2 linked regions of the Chlamydomonas reinhardtii genome follow. The protein of the gene in region 1 binds, or shares a complex with, the protein of each later gene. Links are inferred from orthologs where the notes say so. Each region holds a gene or a part of one and is shown in the gene's direction. Other genes may lie near its edges.

Region 1 (10,006 bases):
GGAGGGGACGGTAGCCAGCGATTAACTATCCAGACCTATCGCAATACGTGACTGCCGCAGTCTCATGCTACAAAAGCGTTTACTGGTACAGAACCCGCGGGGCACGCGAACTCGCCGTATATGGCGTGACAGACTGACAGTATGGCCAGTGCTTGCCAGTGTGAAAAGCCGTATGCACAGTAGCTAGCACCTGGCTGGGCGAGTCACAACATGACGAATCGACGGTGGCAAGCTTGCGTCCTGCTTGCGTTGTACAAAGTTGCGTGCGTGGCCGGCGTGGCTCGAGAATTGAGATGTTCGCCATGGTGCTCACCCAGTCACCCAGCTGAGGTTCCTGACTCCTCACCCCAACCGATACATACCCATTCAAACACACCCTGCGTGCCGTATCCGCTGCATCGCACCAAACACATTATGACGCGCACATCCTGAGCTTCCACACATGACACCCAACGCCCGTCACCGCTGCTGTGGTGGGGTGTGGCACCTTGCCAGCTGCATCAACTGCGGCACAGCGCATGCCGCGTTCGTTGTTGCCGGCCTGCCCAAGAAGTGAGCTGGGCTCAGGTCACACCTACCCAGAGGTCACACATCTCACTGCTGCACACATCCTGCGTCTGCCTGTTCGTCTCGCTCCAGCTATCCGTAAGCGCTTGTCACACGCGGTCGGTGTCCCACAACCGCCATCGTAAGCCGCACATGTCGGAAGCACCACACGTGTGTCAAGTCCCGTGTAATCAAGTCCCGTCTTGTTAGTCTAGTCCACCACCAGGTCCCGTCATGCTACACCGCACGACAATGCACCTGTGCCGCATGCCTGCCTATGCCGTCCCTGCAGCATACGGCATGCACAGAAGTGGCTCCCCACACGCCCGCTGTGCCTTTCTGGGGGCAATGGTCAAATGCCTAACTAACGCAATGAGCCCTCATGATTACAGCATCGCCTCGAACCCCACCACGTCAAGTGGACCGTCCTCAAGTAACAGACGCTACCCGCTTGCCGTCTTCTTCTCCTTCCTACTGGACTTCTCCTTCTTCTCCTTCTTTCCGCTCTTTTCCTTCTTATCCTTCTTGTCCTTCTTCTTAGACGCGTCTGCCACGGGCGTCACACCGTTTGCGGTGGCTATCTGTGGCGTCGCCGCGGTCACCGCACCGCCGTTCGCCACCGCCCCGGTGGTGTGCGCGGGCCCCGCCGCTGACGGCACAGCTCCGGCTGCTGTCGCCGCACCGACTTGCGGCGGCGCAGACAGCGCCGGCGCCACCGCCTTGCCCTTCTTCTTCTCCTCCTTTTCCTTTTTCTTGGCCGCCTTCTCCTTCTTTTTCTCCTCCCTCTCCTTCTTCTCCTCCTTCTCCTTCTTCTTTTCGCTCTTGTCCTTCTTTTCCTTCGTCGAGTCTGGCCCGGCTGCCGCTGCCGCTGGTGTTGCTGCGGCCGTTGCTGCTACTGCTGCCGCAGCCGGCGCCGCCGCGGCTCCTGGCGTCGCCTCCCCAACCGGGACTGCGCCCGCGTCCGTCTTTCTCCGCTTTTTCGCCGCAGCCTCGCCATCCGCCCCGTGTTCCCGCTTGCTGCCCTTTCCGTCTTTCCCCTCCTTGCCGTGCCTCTCCTTGCTCCCATGTGCCGGCTTGCCATTTGCTGCCGCCACCGCTGCAGTAGCGGCAGCTAGCGCCGCCAGCCCCCGCCCCGACGGCGTCGCGCCCTCGCCACCCATGACCACATCCCCGTCCTCGTCCTCGCGTGGAGAGGCAACCGGGTCTGCTGCAGGGGTTGTGTCAGGGAAAGCGGGAGCTTCAGCGAGACGTGTCATGTTTGGCGCCCGGCGATTGGCGCAGCCACCACCGCAGCTTCACGCTGGTGCGCAAACGAACCCCTTCAGCCTCACCAGTCCTGCCCTCCAGTCCTCCCCTGCACCCCCTGTGGCCCCTCCGCCCCGTCCCACTCACCCGGCCACCCCGCCGGCGGCTCCGGCAGCTGCACGCCCGGGTGCAGGAAGTCCGCGGCGCCGGTGGCGGGCTCCCGCATGGAGCCGCTGATCTGGAAGAAGCCGCCGTTGTCCTTGACACTGGGGGCGGAGAGGAGAGAAGAAGGCGGCAGAGGGGAGGCGCAGGTTGGGATAGCCATGTCGGGGTTGGAGAGGCCGGACTAATTGTTACGAGTCGGACTCCCGGGTCATCACGCATGCCCTTCTGAGGTCTGCCAGCTGCACCCGACACGCCACAGACGGGTGCAAGTGGCATGCTGCCTGCTGCTTGCATGCCTGACCTCCTGCCCACCACCCCCTTCGGCCACCCCACGCCGCATGCCCCATTGCCCCCCGCGCCGCCGCCACTCACTCCTCCACTCGGAACACGATGTAGCTGTGCTCGTGGATCTGGTGCTGCGGCGTGACCTTGTGAATCCACTTGTTTTCCTGCGCGCGCCACACACAGGTGCGGATGACACCGTCATGACTTATGACGCGCCCCACCGGGGCCTCCCCGTCTCTGCATGGCGCCTGGGCAACTGACGTGCTGCAGCTGTCACCTGCCTGCTTGCTACCTTGCCGGCCTCCCGCAGCCCCGCCTGAGCCCGAGGAGCCCCCGCCCCGCGCCCCCCTCACACCATGTTCATGCAGCCTCCCACCTGCAGTGTTCCCCACACCTGTGCCGCGAAGTCGCAAGCCCACGCCCCGAACTCCTCACACCTTGTGACGTAATGCTCGTGCCCCGCTCTTCCTGCCCTCCCTGCCCTCCCTGCCGCCCCTACTCTCCCTGCCCTTCCTGCCCCTCAACCTAACCACACCCGCGCCGCCCCACCTCTCGGAGGAAGTGCAGCTCCGGCATGACGGCCCGTGTGGGTATGGTGACGTTGAACACGCCCAGGGCCAGGGCGCTGATGTAGTCCTCGCCCAGGTGGTTCACACGAGCCACTGCGAAGGGGAGGCGGGCAGGGGAGGAGGAGGAGGAGGAGAGGAGGCGGAGGAGGAGGAGCAGAGGGGGGAGCAGGGTCAGGAAGGCGGCGGCTGCGGCGTCTGGAGGCAGACATGTGGCCGTGTGGCAGGCCGGCGGAGGAGAAGTCGGGGAGCATCCACCAGCCCCCAACCCCACACGTCGAGCCTGCAGCTGTCTCTCATGGACAGACGCGCGATCGCCATACCCCTAGCCTGTAACCCTGTCATTGCTGGTACCCGCCTCCTTCCGAGTGCTGGCCACTTGTGCCCTGCCCGCAGCGGTGCAGCCGGTGCCGACCTTACCCAGAGTCATGCCGGGCGATGGCTTGAAGAGCAGCACGTCCGCCCGCACGTCGAGGTGGAAGTAGGGGAAGTACGGGTGGATGACAGGCTGCACGCACGAGAATGAAATGCGCACTGTTTGTAGTCTAATTGACAGCGTCGCGGCCTTTGGGCGGCGCACGCAGTGCATGCTGGTGACCAGTTTGGGCTGACCGGCTCGTTCGCACCTGCTTTGTGAGAATCTGCACATTTGAATAGGCCACAAGCACTCCCTCGAACTCGTCGACGTATCTGCAAGCAGGTCGCCGATTGCACGTCAAGACTCGGCGGCGCGACGGCTCCACTGCGAGGGAAAATTGAAGCTTGCTGCACACACCTAAGTAGATGAGCGTTTAGCTGCTCCTTGACGCCGCCCAACACGTCGGAAACAGTGCTTGGGTGCAGCTCCACGGCGAAGTGCGTCCGCGTGCGGTAGAGTCCATTGCTACTGATTGCCGCCATGCTGTCCAAGTAGAAATTTAAAGGTCCATTAATGCTCTTGCACGCAGGCGAAAGAAGTTTTGTGGAAACGACTCGCAAAGCAGGCATACAGGCACAGTGCTTCTAAGTTCTTGTCTCTGAAGTATGATACAAAGTACAGCAGTAAGTTTGACACCTGCAGAGAAGAAGAACCCATGCGACCCCAACCGAAGCAATTAGTTCTGCTCACATGTTTTACCCCTCGCCAACCCCTCGCTCGTTTACTATCCCCCTCGGCACCAAGTACTAGTCATGAAGTAGGAGAACTCAACACGGAGTGCGGAGACCAACTGCGCCAAAATGGCCGATATCCTCAACGAAGCATTTGGGGAGGACGGCTTTGACCCTATCTCCTGGATTAACAATGCGTGCAATAACAAAGCAACGGATGAGCCGCTTGAGAAGTTCCTCGCGGAGCTGGAAATGCGCCTGCAGCTAAACGCGGAGGATATTGAGGCCACGCTCAGCGACAACAGCGCACAGGCTATGCGTCGGATACCCTTTGCTATCCAGGAGATTTACCGCCTCCAGGGCGACATCCAGGGAATGCAGGATCAGGTCCAGGTGCTGGCAGGGAGCGTGCAGCGCGACGCCACGGACGCGCGCGGCAGCGTGGAGCACATCTCGCAGCTGCACCTGGTCAAAGCGAACATGGAGAACGCCTGCAACTCCTTGAAGGAGGCAACGGAGCTATCGGGGCTGTTTGTCAAGGTGGAGGAGGTCTTTGCCGCCGGCGACTTGCCCAAGGTGGCTGAAATCCTGGCGTCTATGCGCCGCAGCCTCAGCCTCGTGGGCGACGTGCCCGAGTTCCGCGCGGGTGAGGCGCCAGCGTGCGGCGGGGACCGGCAGTGCGCGTGTATTTGCCAGGTGGTCTGTTCAGGCTGCGTTGGCTGTTGCGCGCCAACACACCATTGCGACACTCCCAAGGAGTGGGGGCCTTCCCCCGCCACCACCCCGACTCCACACATCCCCCCGCGCACCTCCCCACCCACCACCTCTTACCCCACCTTCAACACCAAGCGCCAAGCCATACCCGTGTGCCACTGCCACCCTGGCAATCGCCTCATGACCCGCCCGCCCCGCCCCGACGCGACTACGCAGGCCGCCAGAAGCTGCGCGCGCTGGAGGACCGGCTGCAGACGCAGGTGGAGGGCAGCCTGGGCGAGGCGCTGGCGCGGGGCGCGGACGACGAGGCCATGCGCAAGCTGTGCGGCCTGCTGCTGGCGGTGGACAGGTGCGGGGTGGGGGCGGTGGGGGCGACAGCGGAAGGCGGGGGCGGCAGCGCGGGCGGGGGAGGAAACGGAGGGCGCCGGATGCGCGGCACAGGGAGGAATCCGTATTGAGTCGCGAGCCAGAGGGGGCGCTGGGACTGCAACGATACGGCGCTGGGCACGGCGTTTGGTGGAGAGCGGAGCGCGTGAATGCGTTCCGGAGCGGAAGGTTGACTAGGAGTGGCGACTGGCGGAGGCAGTGATTGAAGCCGTACCAGCTCCTCCAGGCAGTCCTCACCCGTGACTGTGCAGTGGGCCAATGCTGTACGTCGTACGCCTGGTTGTGTGTGTGTCGTGGCAGGTACGGCACGATTGAGAGCTTGTACGTGTCCACCAAGATGGCCAAGGTGGGTGCAGGCTGGCCAGATGGCCATGAAGGACTGGGGACGGGCGCTGGCGAATGGGCGGATTTGCAGCGAGCCAGAAAAGCCGGGGGTCTTGAGCGGGCGCCTGCAACGCTGTCTTTGTACGTCACCATATCGCTGACATTTCGTTGTGCGCTTCCTGACCTCACCCAACCGCAGGTCCACGCGCTATGGGAGGAGGTGGCGGCTGCCGGCGCTGCTGCGCCCGAGGGCGCCGCCTCCTGGCTGGCCACCTTCCTGTCGCGGCTGCTGGCGCTGCTGGAGGCGGAGGCGCGCTGGGCGGCGGCGGTGCTGCCGGGCCAGGCGGCGGCGTTGCTGGGGGCGCTGTGCCTGTCGGTGTTCACAAAGGTGGGGCGGGTCGGCAGTGAGGACACGGGCAGGGGGCGGGTGAGGGTGGAGGCAGGTCAGGCAGGAGTGCAGGGGCGCGGCGAGCTGCCGTGAACTGGAGTGGCGGGGTGGAGGACGTGCCTGCGTGCATAAATACTGTCTCAACCTCTGTATGATCAAAGCAAGAAAGGCCATAGCGCCGATGGCATCGGACCCGTTGTGTCATTCGTTCTCCCTTATCCCGCCACAGATTAGCAAAGCCGCCCGCGACCGGCTGGCTCCCGTGACGCACATCGCGCCGCTGGCGGGCTTTGCTCGCGAGGTGGGCGGCTTCGGCCGCGCGCTGCATGAGCTGCTGAGAGACGTGGAGACGGGCCGGCGAAGGGAGGTCATTGCGCTGGTGAGTGAAAGCAGGGGGTTCAGAAGAGAGTGATGGGTTTTGGGTTTCTGGGCGGCTTCAGGGAATGGACATGTCTTCAGCTTCAGCTCAGCTCCAGCTCCACATGACACGCAATCTCCAGTCTCCACACTTCATGTCCCCACACCACACCACGCCACACCACATCAGGTGTACGCGCCGCTTGAGGACAAGGTAGCGGCGTACGGCGAGCTGGAGGCGGCGCAGCTGGCGGCGGACCTCAGGGCCGCGCTGCCGCCCGCCGCTGCGGCGGCGGCGGCGGCGGCGGGTGACGAGGCAGAGGGCGCGGTGTCTCGGCTGGCGACATCCATCCGGCCGGCCTTTGCGGCACTGCATGCGGCCGTGGAGCGGTGGGTGTGGGTGCGGCGGCTGGTGTGCTGCTGGCTTGGGCATGTCGGCTTGAGGGCGTGTGTGTCCTATCAAATGGCCGGACTGGATGTGGCTTCGTTGGGCCGCGGGCCGGGCTCTACAATTATTGCTTCCACAAGTGCACGCACACGCTTGCACACGCACACACGATGATGCCTGCCGGCCGGCCCCCATGCACGTCACCACCACCACTACCACCGGAACCCGCAGCTGCAACGCGCTGACGGGCGGCAGTGAGGTGCGGGCGCTGCTCAAGGCGGTGGACGGCGAGCTGGCCGCGTACCTGGCGGCACTGCAGGTGGGGGCGGTGGGGGCTGGGCTGGATTGGGTGCGCGTTGTGCGAGGGCGGGTGCGGCACGGGGCAGGGGGCAGGGGGAAGCAGGCAAGGCAATGGCAGCACGCGGCAGAGCCGGCAGGGGGGCCTCCAGCACCACGGCAGGTGGTGGAGCTGCGGCCTGCGCTCATCTCACCTCCTCACGTTTTTTGCCCACTTTGCCGCTGCCTGGCAGTCGGCGGTGTCGGGTCTGGGCGCGAAGCACAAGGCGCGCGCTGCTGCCGGTGCGGCGGGCGGCGCCAGTGCGGCCGAGGACGGCGAGGACATCGCCAACGTACTGCAGCTCATCAAGGTGAGGGGGGATTCTGTGCCCCCGAGCGAGGGGTGGCAGCGGCCACGCCGCGTGTAGTGTGCTGAGGGCAGGAGCCGGCGGCAGCGTGTCTTTCTGTGGCTCTGTCCGTGACCAATGCGCCTTTTTACGCCTTCTAGTGTTCGACCTCGTAAGGATTGGATCTCTGCAGGTCGGCCGCGAGCTGTCTGCAGCGGTGGGCCGACTGGAGGCCGCACTGCGCACCGCCGTCGCCGCCGCCGTGTCCCGCCTGCAAGCCCTCGTGTCCGGAGCGGCGCCAGCCGCCGCCGCCGCGGCGGCGGCCGCCGCCTCCGGCACGCCCTTCGCCTCCAGCTCCGCGCCCTCTGGCGGCGCCGCCGGCCTGAGCGGCGCCGCCGAGGCGGACCCCGTGGCTCTGCGCCTGGTGGCGGGCCGCGGCGAGCGACTGGCCAAGCTGATGAAGCTGGGGTCCGGCCTGAGTGACCCGCGCTTTATGGTGCTGCCCGGCAGCGTGGGGGCGCTGGATAGCTTCTCGGCCACGGTGCAGGTGCGGGTGGGGATGGGGCCCAGCGGGTGGGAAAGCGATGCCGTAATGACGGGGTCGCAGGGACTGTCTGCGGGTGGAGTGGGGTGACCGAAAGGGGTGTGGCTGCTTCATGCCCGAGCCCAACGACTAGGCCCCCCCCCCGTTGTCAAGAGGGAGGGTGCGGAGACGGCAGGAGCTTGGGAAGCGCGGCAGCTGGCGCTCGTTCCGAATGCTGTCCGACGCCCCCTGCCCTTGGCTTGCTTGCAGTCCACGGTGTTCGATGTGTTGCTGGCGCGTGTGGCGTCGCTGCTGGCGTCGCTGCCGGTGCTGCCCGAGTGGCGCAAGGGTGCGGAGGGCTCGGCGCATCCGGCGGCGCCGCTGCCGTCCTTCAACACCTACCCGCTGCCCTACGTCACCGCCATTGGGGACCACCTGATGGCCATGCCGCAGCAGCTGGAGGTGGGAGCGAACACGCCGCGGGGCGGGGAGTCACAAGGGAGCCACAGCTCAGTAATGAGAGCAGACTGGGTTCACTCCCATTTGCTTTTCCGACCTAGACACCATGAGCAGCAGTATGCCGTGGTTCCTTACTCTGCCGCACTGCCGCAACCCGCCCACAGGTTCTCATGGGCGACACAGGCGACGACACGTCGGCGACGGCTGCGGCGGGCGGCGCAGACGCCAGCGGCGGCGGCGCGGCCGAGTGGGAGGAGCTGGCGGCGGAGTGGCTGGACAAGGCGGTCAGCGGCGCGGCGGCCATGTACGCAGACGCCATATTCAAGATCGGCGATCTGGGGCAACAGGTGCGCATGCGCCGGGAGAGTTGGGGAACTTGTGGAGATCCGCGGCTGCTTGGTCGGGGCATAGGATGCTGCTAGCACATAAAGACATACATGTACGCGTACGCACGTGCACACGCGTGCTCGCCACCTGACGGCATCTGGCCACCACTGGCCCACACATCGTGCCCACACATGACGGTGTCCCACAACAACACAGGGCGGCTGCCAGTTGGCCACGGACGTCGAGTACTTCGTCAACGTCATGGGCGCCCTGCACGTGGCACCGCCGCCCAGCCTGCTGACGGTGCAGCTGCTGGCGGGCGCCGCCCCAGAGGAGTTTGCGGAGCTGGGCCGGGGTGCGCTGGCGGAGGGGGCGGCGGACGGGCCGGCGCTCAGGGCGCTGGCGGGCATGCGGCGGATTGCGCTGGAGCCGGTGGCGGCAGCGCCGGCGCAGTCGTAGCGGGGTGATACTGGTGTAATGTACTGTGCTAGCGTTCGCAGTGTTCGTGATGTTTACGTGGTCGCGACATTGCTGCATTGCAAGCGGCGGAGTGTTCGAATCTGGAGGGTCCCAGCAATTGAGCAGGGCTCAAGCACACAACGGCGTTGCACTGCCGCTCTGCCACTGCTAACTGTTTGCTGTCTGCTTACGGGTCTGGGCATCGGCTGCACCCTACGGGACCTCGCCAACCTGCCTTGAACCCTGTCCCATCACACACACAACGGCGTTCCAAGCAGCTGAGTGTCTGAGTCGGCCGGTCGGTCGGTGGCCGTGTCCGGAAGATCGCCAATTGCAGGGGAACCCAGTTATTTGACCGCTTACCGACTCTGTAACATATATGTGAGGCAGCATGAGCTGCACACTGGCCACGGCCCCCCACGTATGCGGGCGCCATCGTCAAGATTGGCGGGCGGTTGCTTGGCATGTTGCTAGCTCATGCCAAAGTGCGTTGGGCACACGAACCCGCTTGCCACTCCGCCAGCTTTGTCAGCACGCGCACGTCAGCAGCTGGTCACCATATCCTCCACGTGGCCTTGCTCGCCCCCTCTGCTACGCACATGCATGCCGCACACTGCTGGGCCCAGGGCCGCTGCCGCTAGCTGGAAAATGAGCTGAGCCCTGTCGGAGTCATGGGAAGTTCGTTGCGTTCAGACGTTCAGTTACGGAGGCGGGCGCGACGTTCTTCCATGTTTGATCGACGCCTGGGTTGGGCGTAACTTGTTTCTCGGGGCTCAGCTGTATCAGCCACGTGCCTACAACAATCTGCCCCTTGCCATGTCCCATCGCGTCCACATCGACACGGGCAGGGCCGTGCACCCAATATCATCCCAGGCCATCCCGCAACCGGCCATCCCGCAATCGGTCATCCCGGTCGGTCATCCCCTCAGGCGCCCCCTCAGGCGTCATACCCACTCCAAGGATATCATTGGCGCCGACCACCGTGCCACCAGTGCGGATCGTTTGGATCCCGGGAAATTCACACACGCACACCGCGCAAAAGCAATGCCGAGACGTGTCATCAAAACTCTGCAACACGTTTGGCTTGCTAGTCACCACGCGCCGGCAGCTGGTATGCACAGGCGTAACACCGCCGCCGCACCCCTACCCACTCTTTCCACA
Region 2 (9,853 bases), on another chromosome or scaffold:
CACGCCCGCGCCCTAGGCCCCGCCCACAACAAGCCGCTCCTCCCCCGCCCTGCCTGCCTCCCTGCTCCCGCTCCCCAGGACGCTCTGCGCGGCGGGCTGTTCCATTTGAATGCTGCGGCCCAGGGCGGCTGCGTGTTGGCGCTGCTGGTGCTGGCGCGAGCGCACTGCGGCATTGACGCCACCGCGCCGCAGTTTGCGCAAGTGTTTAAGGTGCGGGTTAGGGGATCTGTTGGGGGGAAGGCGTTGTTTCCCACCACCACCTGGTGTCGGGTGCGATGCTAGTGTGCATGTGAACAGCCTTGGCGCTGCGGCCGCGCCTGCGCCACGTCGGTTGGTTGCGCGCCGTGCGCCATGGCACCCCAACGAACTGCTGGCCGCCGCCGCCGCCGCCGTCGTCGTCGAGCCGCCCTCCCCCCACCATTCCACAACCATGACGCAGGTGGGCACCAAGCAGCGGCTGTTCCAGGCGCACGTGCGTGTGGCCTGGCGCTGCACGCTGCTGGCGGCAGAGCGGGGCGTGCGCGGCGCGGCGCTGGCGGCTGCGAGCGCCTACGCCTCCGGCAGCGGCCTGTTCGGGGAAGAGGTGCTGGACGGACTGGGGCAGCCGGCGCAGGTGCGGCGGGCGGGGGCGGGGGCGGGCTACGTGGCGCAGGATGATGTCTGTGGGGGGGGGAGATCTACGGTATTTCACCATCCCCATGAGACCTGGATCTTGCACCCCTTTCCCTCAGGCGGCGCGGTGGTATGCGGCGGCCCTGGCGCTGCCCGACCTGCTGGCGGCGGCGGAGGCGGAGGAGGCGGCGGCGGAGGCGGGCGGCGGAGGCGACGATGTCATCCGCGAGGCCGATGAGGAGGAGGAGGACGATGAGGAGGACGCGGAGGACGGTAGCGAGCGGCGCAGTGGGAAGGCGGAGAGCGACGACGTGAGTGGTGTGTTGGGGCAGCGGGCTGGTGTGCGGCTGGTGCAGCCGGTCAGCCGGTGGGCGGGGCGGTGGCAGTGGAAGGTGCACTCTGCCTGGGGCCGTGCTGATGGCCTGATGTGCGTGTCGCTGACCGGCCGCGGTTTCCGCCCTTGTGTCCTTGCTCCACCTTTTCGACTGGTTTCCAACCATGCAACCCAACTCTGTCCACCCCAGGAGCCGCAGTTCGAGATGTCGGTCATGCGCGCTGCCAGCGACCGGGACAGCGATGCAGGTGGGTTAGGCGGTCTCACCAGGGGTTGTCGCTGCTACCGTGCGCGGTCGCGCTTCTGCATCATTCCTGCCAGTGTGCGGTCGAACGGTCGCCGAACTGGCCAGCCCGTGCAACCTGTATGCGACCTTCCCTGTGCACGGCAGTGCACCGCCACGGCCTATCTGACTTGAAGAACACCGCTCGCGCCCACGCCCCCACGCTCGCTGGCTCGTGCAGGCATGCTGCCCGACCTGCCCATGCTGGGGTCCGCCGGCAGCACTGTGAACCTGTCCGCACTGCGGGTGCCCAAGATCGAGGAGCTGCGGCCCAGCAAGGCCTTCCTGCACCGCTGCAAGCTGCAGGCGGAGGAGGAGGCGGCCGCGCTGCCGGGGGCCAGCGCCGCCAAGTGGGTGGCGTGCTGGGTGCTGGGGGGTGCTGGGGTGCTGGGGGGCTGGGGCGGGGTGCTGGGGGGCTGGGGCGGGGTGCTGGGGGGCTGGGGTTAACGTTGAACCGATCTAGGGTGCTGGGGGTGCTGGCGGCGCTGCGCTGGAGTACGTGGATGTTTGGGCGCGGCCCCGTGGCGCGCGGCGTTTTCCGTAGCACCCGGGCACCGCACCGTCCTTCTCCGCCCCGCCCCCGCTGCTTCTCGTGCTCATGCTCGTCGTCTTCGCATAGTCTAGTTAGTCTCTTTGCTCTTGCCTCCTTGCAGGTACGAGATCCTGTTCAGCTACGGCAGCCTGCTGCTGTCGGGCGGCGAGGGCCTGGCACCCGATCCCGCCAAGGCGGCGGAGCTGCTGGAGGCCGCCGCCGAGGCCGCCAGCGAGGCCGGGAAAGGCAAGCTGGCGCAGCGCTACTACGAGCAGGCGGCCAAGGCGCAGGCGGCGTGCGAGGAGTGAGCGGACTGGGGTGCAGGGGGACTGGTGTGTGTCACGACTTGCACTAAGAGGTGCGCTTCACGGTACCCCAAGCCAGGACGTCATATAATTTTCGCCCGAGATCGTGACAGTTAAGTATGCGCACAGGTGGGCACGGTGTGTACAGGCATGCGGGGGCGCACTGCTACCATGCGTTAGACATTTTGGGATTATGCCGGGTGTTTGACTACAACAGTCAAACGGTGATGGTTGGCAGCGCGGTTCATCAGCACTTGCGCATGGGCGAAGCGCAACGGCGGGGTCATCACTATCAGCATACTTTGCATGCACGGAAACATACCGAACCTGGCATCGCCCTCATTGCGGATGCTGGTGTGTGGCAGCGCTGTTGTCGTGATTGCGTGCACCTTTGAGCGAGTTTGCAGATTATGGTCCCAGTTTAGGACTTCGGGAAGGTGCGAAACAAAGTTACGGCGCGGCAAGTGTGGATGATAGGATTCAGTGGGGGCCGGGGCTCCAGCGGTGCAGGCGACCCGACGCTTGCGGACGCGGTCAATGCTGTTTTGCATGGTGCGTGGGAGTTGCGTGGTGCCCAGGCATACAGGTCGTTTTTAGCCGGCTCGTGTGCGGCCACAGCCAGGCGGGCTCCCTCCTGTGGTGCGGGTCGTTCCTTGTGGTGACTGGGCATTGCGTGGGAGCAGCAATTGGAGCGGCAGCGGCAGAGCTACTCACTGACAATGCGCACGCCATGCGGCATGTCCGCTCGGCGCGTAATGATCTGTAGGTGACGGAGCCTGGGGACGTCGGCATTAGTGCAATGCCGTAAGCGGGTTGTGCGTGTGGCAGACACTCGAGCTCTGGCGCTCTGTATGTCTAGAAGAGGCGTCTTGGGTGCAGGCTGCCGGTGGACACTGGCTATCAGGTTCTGTCACCGTATACAATCTTGATACAGCAGGCTTGGCTAGGCGTGCCTACGGAACGTAAGCCCAAGACAGGCTGTGAAGACGACTCAATACGATGCATTTTCATGGTGCAGCGCCAGGACACCCCCTGCGCGGCGCAACTACAAATCTACAATCCAGGAGATTAAGTAACAGCTGCAAATCTGCAATCCGCTCACCAGCTTGTAGGGAGCTCTAGGGCTCTGGGCCCCAGCCGTGGCCCCCACAGGGGCAGCCACCTGGTGGCGGCGGCGGGATTGGGCCAGAGCAGCGTGTGGGATCCTCGAGGTGGGAGGCACAACCGTCCGACAGGCCGAGTCGGGAACTCCGCACATCCACATCGGTGCAGAGTTGCGGACAGCTGCGTGCAGGTACACTGGTGCCGTGCATCCTACGACCGCGAGCATGAGCAGGGAAAGGGGATAGGACTGGGTGAGCATCCAAGGCCACTAGCGGCCTGTTCCGGCGGACGTGCGGCGCCGTGCGCGCGTCAGCGGACGTCCGCGTCGTGCATCCAGGATACGAGCGCTTGGCTTAGCACTACAGCTGACTAGCAAGTACGGTATATGCTGGAAGCCGTGCGCCGACACGCGGGTGGCGAGCTTGGCGGAGGGGGCCGTCGGCGGTCCAATCTGAGGGGTGCGCTGGTACGTGCTTGAAGTTCAGCCCCGCTTCACCCGCTGTGCCAGCCTGCTAATCTATGCTATACTAATATACAAGGAGCTGGTTGAAGCTTGACTCGCAGGCCTGGCCTTGAACACGAAGATATGTTGCGCACAAATTGACAAAGCTCTGCACCAGAACCTCTCGCAATTGACGCGATGGGCAAAGGCGGTGATAGCACCGATGACAACCATGCGGGTCCTAGCACTAGTGGGGGCAGCGACTTGCTGCAGTTGCCCCGCTTCCAGCCCTTCCTAGACAACAATTTCAACGTAGCAGAGTTCACCTCTAAGGTTCTTGGTGGCTCGCATACAACAGCGTCAGCTCAATCGGAGCAGCTGCGCGATGGAGTGCACCAGTTGGAGTCCGCGCTGTCCGACGAGGTGGTCGCGCGGAACAAGGAGCTCCTGCATCACGTCCGGCGTATGCTGGACGCAGAAAACTCGGTCCGGGATGTGGTGCTTTCAGTGGAGTCCTTACAGAGCGCTGTTCGGCGCATCCGCGCTGAGGTGGTGGGGCCCTATGAGCAGATCAAACACAAGACGCAGCAGCTGCGCAACATCCACGCCACCGTGGACATCCTACGGCACGTTATCCACCGCCTGAAGCTTGCACAGAAGTTGCGGGCTCAGCTCGCGGTGCCAGCAGCGCAGCTGGACCTTGCGAAGGCAGCCAAGCTCATAACGGACATTCGGCACGTGGACGCCGAGGTGGACCTCTCCGCCATCGAGGCTGTGGCCGCAGATGCGGAGTTTCTGGAGTCGGCCCGCAAGTCCGTGCAGGAGCAGGCGGAGGTGGGCACTAACAAGGGTGTTGGGAGGGACTGCATGGCCTGGACGCACAGCACGCGCTGCACGCCGTGTTACCACCCAAACACCTTCTTACCTTGCCTGGGCGGCGTACATGCCCGCATCACGTCAAATGAAAGATGCTTGGGATGCGCATTTCGCTCTGCCGCGCTTGGGTGGGCGGTGGGCGCTGCACACTGACTGGCCCGACAACCACCCATGCCAATCCCCGCCCCACACAGGCCGCGCTGGTGGAGGGCGTGGAGTCTCTGAGCCAGGCCAAGGTGGGCTCGGCGCTGCAGGTCATATTCAACCTGGAGGAGCTGCAGCAGGTGAGGGAACAGCGCCGCCGCCGCCGCCGCCAGCAGCTGCTGCTGCTCCTGCTCCTGCTGCCGCACGGCAAGCAGCGACTGAGGAAGGATTGCCGGGGTTGCGCGGCCGGGCCGCTGGCTGGGGCACGCGCGTTCGGAAGGTGCTTAGGTTGGTGCCAAGGGTCGGGCGCAAGCCAGAGGGTTGGGCTTGACCAAGCGCCGCTCATGATGAGCGCATAGGTGTCGGCACCAAACGCCTCGGCCAGCAACCGCACCGCAACGACTGCACTGCATGCGGTGTCTTGCCCTGATCCTAACCCCTACATGGCTGCGACTGCGGCGTCTCACGCAGGCGGTGAACGGGCTGCTGTCGCGGCACCTGCACGACATCGAGAAGGCGCTGCGCAACGCGCTGGACAGCCGACACCTGGCGGCACAGGCGGCCGCGCCGGGGGCAGCCGCGCCGGGGGCGGCGGCGGGCGGGCGGCCAGGCCAGGCGGCGCCGGGCGCGCAGGACCGCATGTGGCAGGTGCGTGCGGTGCTCCTCACCTCACACGGCTGCGGCGTCACAGCCGTTTGCCAGCGCCGGCACGCTGCGTCCTCGCTACTGCGCCTCGTCACCTGTGTGCGTACCCATGAGCAACACGACCCGCCTCTTACGTGCTGGCATCACCAAAACCTGTGTCCAGCCCACACGTAGTACTCGGCACTCGCCCACAATAACAAGTTAGTCCAACCCGCCCACCCCCACATTGGGTTCGGTTTAGTTTGGGCTGGCATCTACACCCCCCCCCCACCCGGCCCGCCTCCCGCCGCCCTGCTCAGGCCCTGCGCGACGTGCTGGAGCAGATCAGCTCCAGCACTGTGGCGGTGTGGCACCTGCAGCGCGTGGTGGCCAAGAAGCGCGACCCGCTGTCGCACGTGTGCTTCCTGGACGTGCTGGTGGGACCGGGCGAGCCGCTGCTGGTGGCGCGCTTCTGGTGGGTGCGGGAGTGGGGAGAGGGGGAGGGGGAGGGAGAGGGGGAGGGGGAGGGAGGGAGAGCGGGCCGCGTCGTGCCCAGGGGTTATTGTGTCAGCTGTTGGATGTGGGCCAGGCGGGCGCGCTGTTGGATGTGGGCCAGGCGGGCGCGCAGCTGGTGTGTGTACGGGAGAGGGATGCGACTTGCAGTACGGACGGGCGTTGCCCACCGCACCCAGCGCGGGGGCTACGGCTGGGCCGGTGCCATCCTGTCATGTGGCCTGGCAGCTTCGCCACGACGCGAATGTTGCCGCTCCCCGGCTGTCCCGACGTGTGGCCTCGGCGCCCGCCACACCCGCTCCACCCTGCAGGTCTGACGTGGTGCGCGCCACCACGGACGCCTTCGCCAGTGTGGCCAAGCCGGGCAAGGGCGGCTTCGTGCGCGACACGCTCACGGCCGCCTACACGCGCCTGGCGGGCCTCATTGAGACCATGTTTGAGCGCCTGACCGCCGAGACCACCATCAAGGTGGGTGGCGCCGTGGCGGTGGTGGTAGGGGGAGGGTGATGGCTGTTGCGCGGACGGGACGCGGGCAAGGGCAAGGGTGAGTGTGTAAGGAGGTGATGAGAGATGATAATCGAATAACACGCTGCCAGGCCGGGCCCATCGCGCGGTTAGCAAGTAGCACACACAGTGACCTAGCTTCCCCCTTGTGGTCACCGGCGCCCTCGCCCTCGCCCGCCACCTATGCCGCAGGGCGTGCTGCCGGCTGTGGGCCCGGCGCAGCTGCAGCAGCTACTGGCCGCCACCAGCCCCTTCCAGACCGCCTACATGGCTGGGTGCCTGTCGCGGCTCACTGACGCCGTGGCCGCCGCCTTCCCCGGCAGCAGCCGCCAGCTGCCGTCCGCGACAGAGGTGCAGAAGTGCATCGGGTGCGTGCAAGGCTCGGGCTTCGGGGCATGACCGAACGCAGGGCGCCGACTTTAACATTGGGTACTGCACCAATACTCTGCCTGGCGTCACGCTCCCACCACACGCGCCATATCGCATGCTGCCGTCCCCTCCGCTTCCCCGCAGTCCCCGCTGTCCCTACGGCTCCCCCCTTGACCATTGGGACCTATCGTAGTTGTGTGGCTCGGGCATGTTACCCCCTCCTCCCCCCTTTTGCATTGGGTTCGGTTTTAGTTTGATCTGGTATCTACAACCCCATATATCTCCCCCTCCTCCCCACAGGCTGATGCACGAGGAGCTCAAGGTGGGCGCCTCGTCGCCGCAGCTGGCCGCCATGATGGCCGCCACGGCCGCCAAGGCGCTGGCGCTGCTGGCCGAGCGCGCCGAGTACTCGGCCGCCTCCGGGCCCGAGCTGCGCCAGCTGGCGCCGGGAGGCGGCGCCGCAGCCTACGGCCCCGTGTCGCCAAACGCCTCCCAGCTGCGCAACATCGCGCTGTGCTCGCAGCTGCAGGAGACGCACCGCTCGCTGTCGACGCTGCTGGCGCGGCTGCCGCCGACGGCGGCGCCGGCGCTGGGCGGCGCGCTGGGCGCGGTCCAGGCGGCGGCGGTGGACTGCGTGGCGCCAATCTTCCGGGCGGTGGTGGAGGCGTGCGAGGAGCGGCTGCTGCGCATGCACGAGTGGCCCGGGTACGGCGGCGCGGGCGACAGCGGCGACGTGACGTCCACCTCGCCGCACGTGGCGGAGGCGGCGGCCCTGCTTGGAGACTTCAGGTGAGGGAGAGGCGTTGTAGGAAACTGCTTGGGGGTGTTGCTGGCCATGCTTCGGTAAGTGGTATAAGCATGGACGGCGCGGGTTTACACGAGAGGAAACAGGTAGCCTGCCGCCTGCGGTTGTGTGGCACTAAGATCATCACCCACCACCTTGATGTTTGTCGCGCGTCAACACCGCCCCGCACCTGTCGTGCGTGCAGGTCGGAGTTCCTGTCGCGCTTCGTGCCGCCGCCCTCGCCAAGCATGCCCAGCTGTGTGGGCAGCCTGGTGGAGCGCATGGCGTGCCGCCTGCTGGTGTTCTTCGTCCGGCACGCGGCGCTGCTGCGGCCGCTGTCGCAGGCCGGCAAGCTGCTGGTGAGGTAGCGTACGCGTACGTGTAGCACCATTGGTCATCATAACATGCGAAACCAGCGGAAGGCCTTTGACTGCTTGAAAGAATTGCAGCCGCCGATGAGCATGCAGAGGCTGCAGGCGCAGTATTCCTGGCGCATGCTTGGCATCAGTTGGAACTAGAGCGGCTAATCTGTTGCCCCATCCATTACGGTGCCAAACAAGCCAAAGGCGCGCGACAGCGCATGCTGCCTTTCACGGTCCTTCTGCCACGCCTCACCTCGCCCGCACGCACCCACACCTCGCACGCACGCATACGCAGGTTGCCAAGGACCTGGCGGAGCTGCAGGCGGCAGTGGGGCAGCAGCTGCACCCGCTGGAGCAGCTGGGGCAGCCGTACCGCGCCGTCAAGGCCTTCCGCGCGCTGCTGTTCACGCCCGCGTCCGGCATCGCCGCCAACCCACTGCTGGGCGAGCTGCCGCCCGCGGTCACGCTGCACCACCTGTTCTCCAGGTGCGAGACCTGCGGGCTTGCACGACGGCTGTGGGTCGCAAGTGCGCAAAGGAATGGGCGTTGTCGCACGGGTCAGTGTACTGCTGGCTTTGACGGCCACCTGGTTCTTGGCTGCCCCTCCAGCCCCCGTCTGGCCCTCCTCAGTCCTTACGCCCGTCCTTGACGCACCCTGCCAGCCCCCGTACCCACCCTGCCACCCACCCGCACCCACCCGCTCCCTGCAGGCTCCCCGCCAACGTGCAGGCGCCGCACCAGCGCTCCGGCCTGACGCCGCTGCAGTACTCGCTGTGGCTGGACTCCCACACCAGCGAGGAGTGCCTGCGCTCCATCGGCGCCGCGCTGGCGGCCGCGCCCTCCGCCGCCGCGGTGTCCACGGCGGCGGGCGAGGACGGCGCTGAGGCGGCGGAGGCGCTGGCGGTGATGAAGCGCATGTGTGCAGCCGTGGACGCGGCGTGACGATGACCAGCAGACGGGTGGCTGTGTGGCGGGGCTAGAGCCTAGAGGTGACGAAGTGCGTGTACGTGGGTGCGGAATTTGGTTTGGTGGAGGCAGGGAAGGGGAGCGGTAGGCAGTGGAAGATGCGGGTGCAATCTTATGCGATAGCATCGTGGCCCCCATGCCTCTGCCCTGGACCTTCGAATTAGCCCTTCTCCCTTCAGAGCTCATGTAGACCAGACGCTTCGCGTCCTTGGCCCTTGGAGCGTTCATACCTTACTGAAAGATGATAAGACTGTGCCTCGTGCCTTCAGGTGGGGAGCTAGGGCACGTAAGCTTGGTTAGCCGCACGATTATGTGCACATGGGTGCGGTGCGCTGACCCAAACGGGCAACGGCTGTTGTTACAGTGCCCTCCACGTGCGACAAGCCCTTGTAACTTCCGTCTCCGCGTCCCGCCGTCCCCGCTCTGCTCGGCACCGCCGCTCTGGGATATCCGTCCTCGAAAGCCAAGCGGACCGGTTAACCCGGTTCGGCAGGGTTGCCAGTGCGCTTGGGCAAACACAGCCGCACGGGGTTGACGAGGGCTGGCGTGGAGCCCTACGCGCCACTGCGCCAGCTGCATCCCAGATTCGCCACACACACCTATACACACGCCTACAAGTTGTCATCAGCAGTCCGACGATGCACCATACCTCTTTAACAACATGACTACCATACATGAGACGCACTGAGGCCATACCAAGCTACAACGCAAGGCCACCACCTACCTCTGCCCCCAGCCAGCCTGTGTTGGGGTAAGCCCCAGTGCCCCCACCCAACCCGACGTTGCCCTTGGCTGACCCGTGTACCCTCATGGAGCTCCACCTTGAACTTGCGAAACCACACTCCGCCGGCTAGAGCAGGCTATTGCCAGCCCGCAGCCGCCCTTACACCGCACCTGACGTCCTGACGATACCGTCTGAAAGTGGTAAGAGATGATGTGGGAACCCAGGCCAAAGACAATCTCGCTGCGTGCACGACACCCACGCCATGTGACATGTCAGCCGTGGGGCATCAATACGGGAGTGCCGTCGTCCAAACCGAAACCGTCCTCAAAACGCATTCCACGCCTACCCGTCTCCAAGCAAGGTAACTCCATTCGT

Evidence for each region.
Region 2: CHLRE_02g086700v5 (region 1) and CHLRE_17g721900v5 share a complex: the UniProt entries of both Arabidopsis thaliana proteins name them as parts of the conserved oligomeric Golgi complex. The link is inferred for Chlamydomonas reinhardtii from reciprocal best matches to the Arabidopsis thaliana genes EYE and AT1G67930.

The regions. Positions count from the first base shown.
Region 1 is NC_057005.1:1,773,414-1,783,419, reverse strand, and holds CHLRE_02g086700v5 (uncharacterized protein), read left to right. Parts: upstream 1-3,937; 5' UTR 3,938-4,025; coding exon 4,026-4,542; intron 4,543-4,826; coding exon 4,827-4,959; intron 4,960-5,297; coding exon 5,298-5,343; intron 5,344-5,520; coding exon 5,521-5,709; intron 5,710-5,938; coding exon 5,939-6,088; intron 6,089-6,256; coding exon 6,257-6,456; intron 6,457-6,685; coding exon 6,686-6,773; intron 6,774-6,984; coding exon 6,985-7,101; intron 7,102-7,270; coding exon 7,271-7,624; intron 7,625-7,870; coding exon 7,871-8,062; intron 8,063-8,223; coding exon 8,224-8,406; intron 8,407-8,602; coding exon 8,603-8,845; 3' UTR 8,846-9,231; downstream 9,232-10,006. Other genes in the region: CHLRE_02g086750v5 (uncharacterized protein), read right to left, coding at 990-1,753, 1,939-2,057, 2,329-2,405, 2,791-2,903, 3,228-3,315, 3,434-3,497, 3,583-3,707. UniProt on the Arabidopsis thaliana protein: Required for normal Golgi function. Necessary for embryo development and pigmentation, especially for the expansion of cells and organs, and for the formation of the organized shoot apical meristem (SAM).
Region 2 is NC_057020.1:3,174,944-3,184,796, forward strand, and holds CHLRE_17g721900v5 (uncharacterized protein), read left to right. Parts: upstream 1-3,694; 5' UTR 3,695-3,810; coding exon 3,811-4,446; intron 4,447-4,682; coding exon 4,683-4,772; intron 4,773-5,103; coding exon 5,104-5,280; intron 5,281-5,576; coding exon 5,577-5,731; intron 5,732-6,080; coding exon 6,081-6,237; intron 6,238-6,465; coding exon 6,466-6,641; intron 6,642-6,942; coding exon 6,943-7,431; intron 7,432-7,631; coding exon 7,632-7,785; intron 7,786-8,083; coding exon 8,084-8,274; intron 8,275-8,498; coding exon 8,499-8,730; 3' UTR 8,731-9,156; downstream 9,157-9,853. Other genes in the region: CHLRE_17g721850v5 (uncharacterized protein), read left to right, coding at 79-210, 440-613, 732-923, 1,137-1,194, 1,411-1,579, 1,883-2,069. UniProt on the Arabidopsis thaliana protein: Required for normal Golgi function.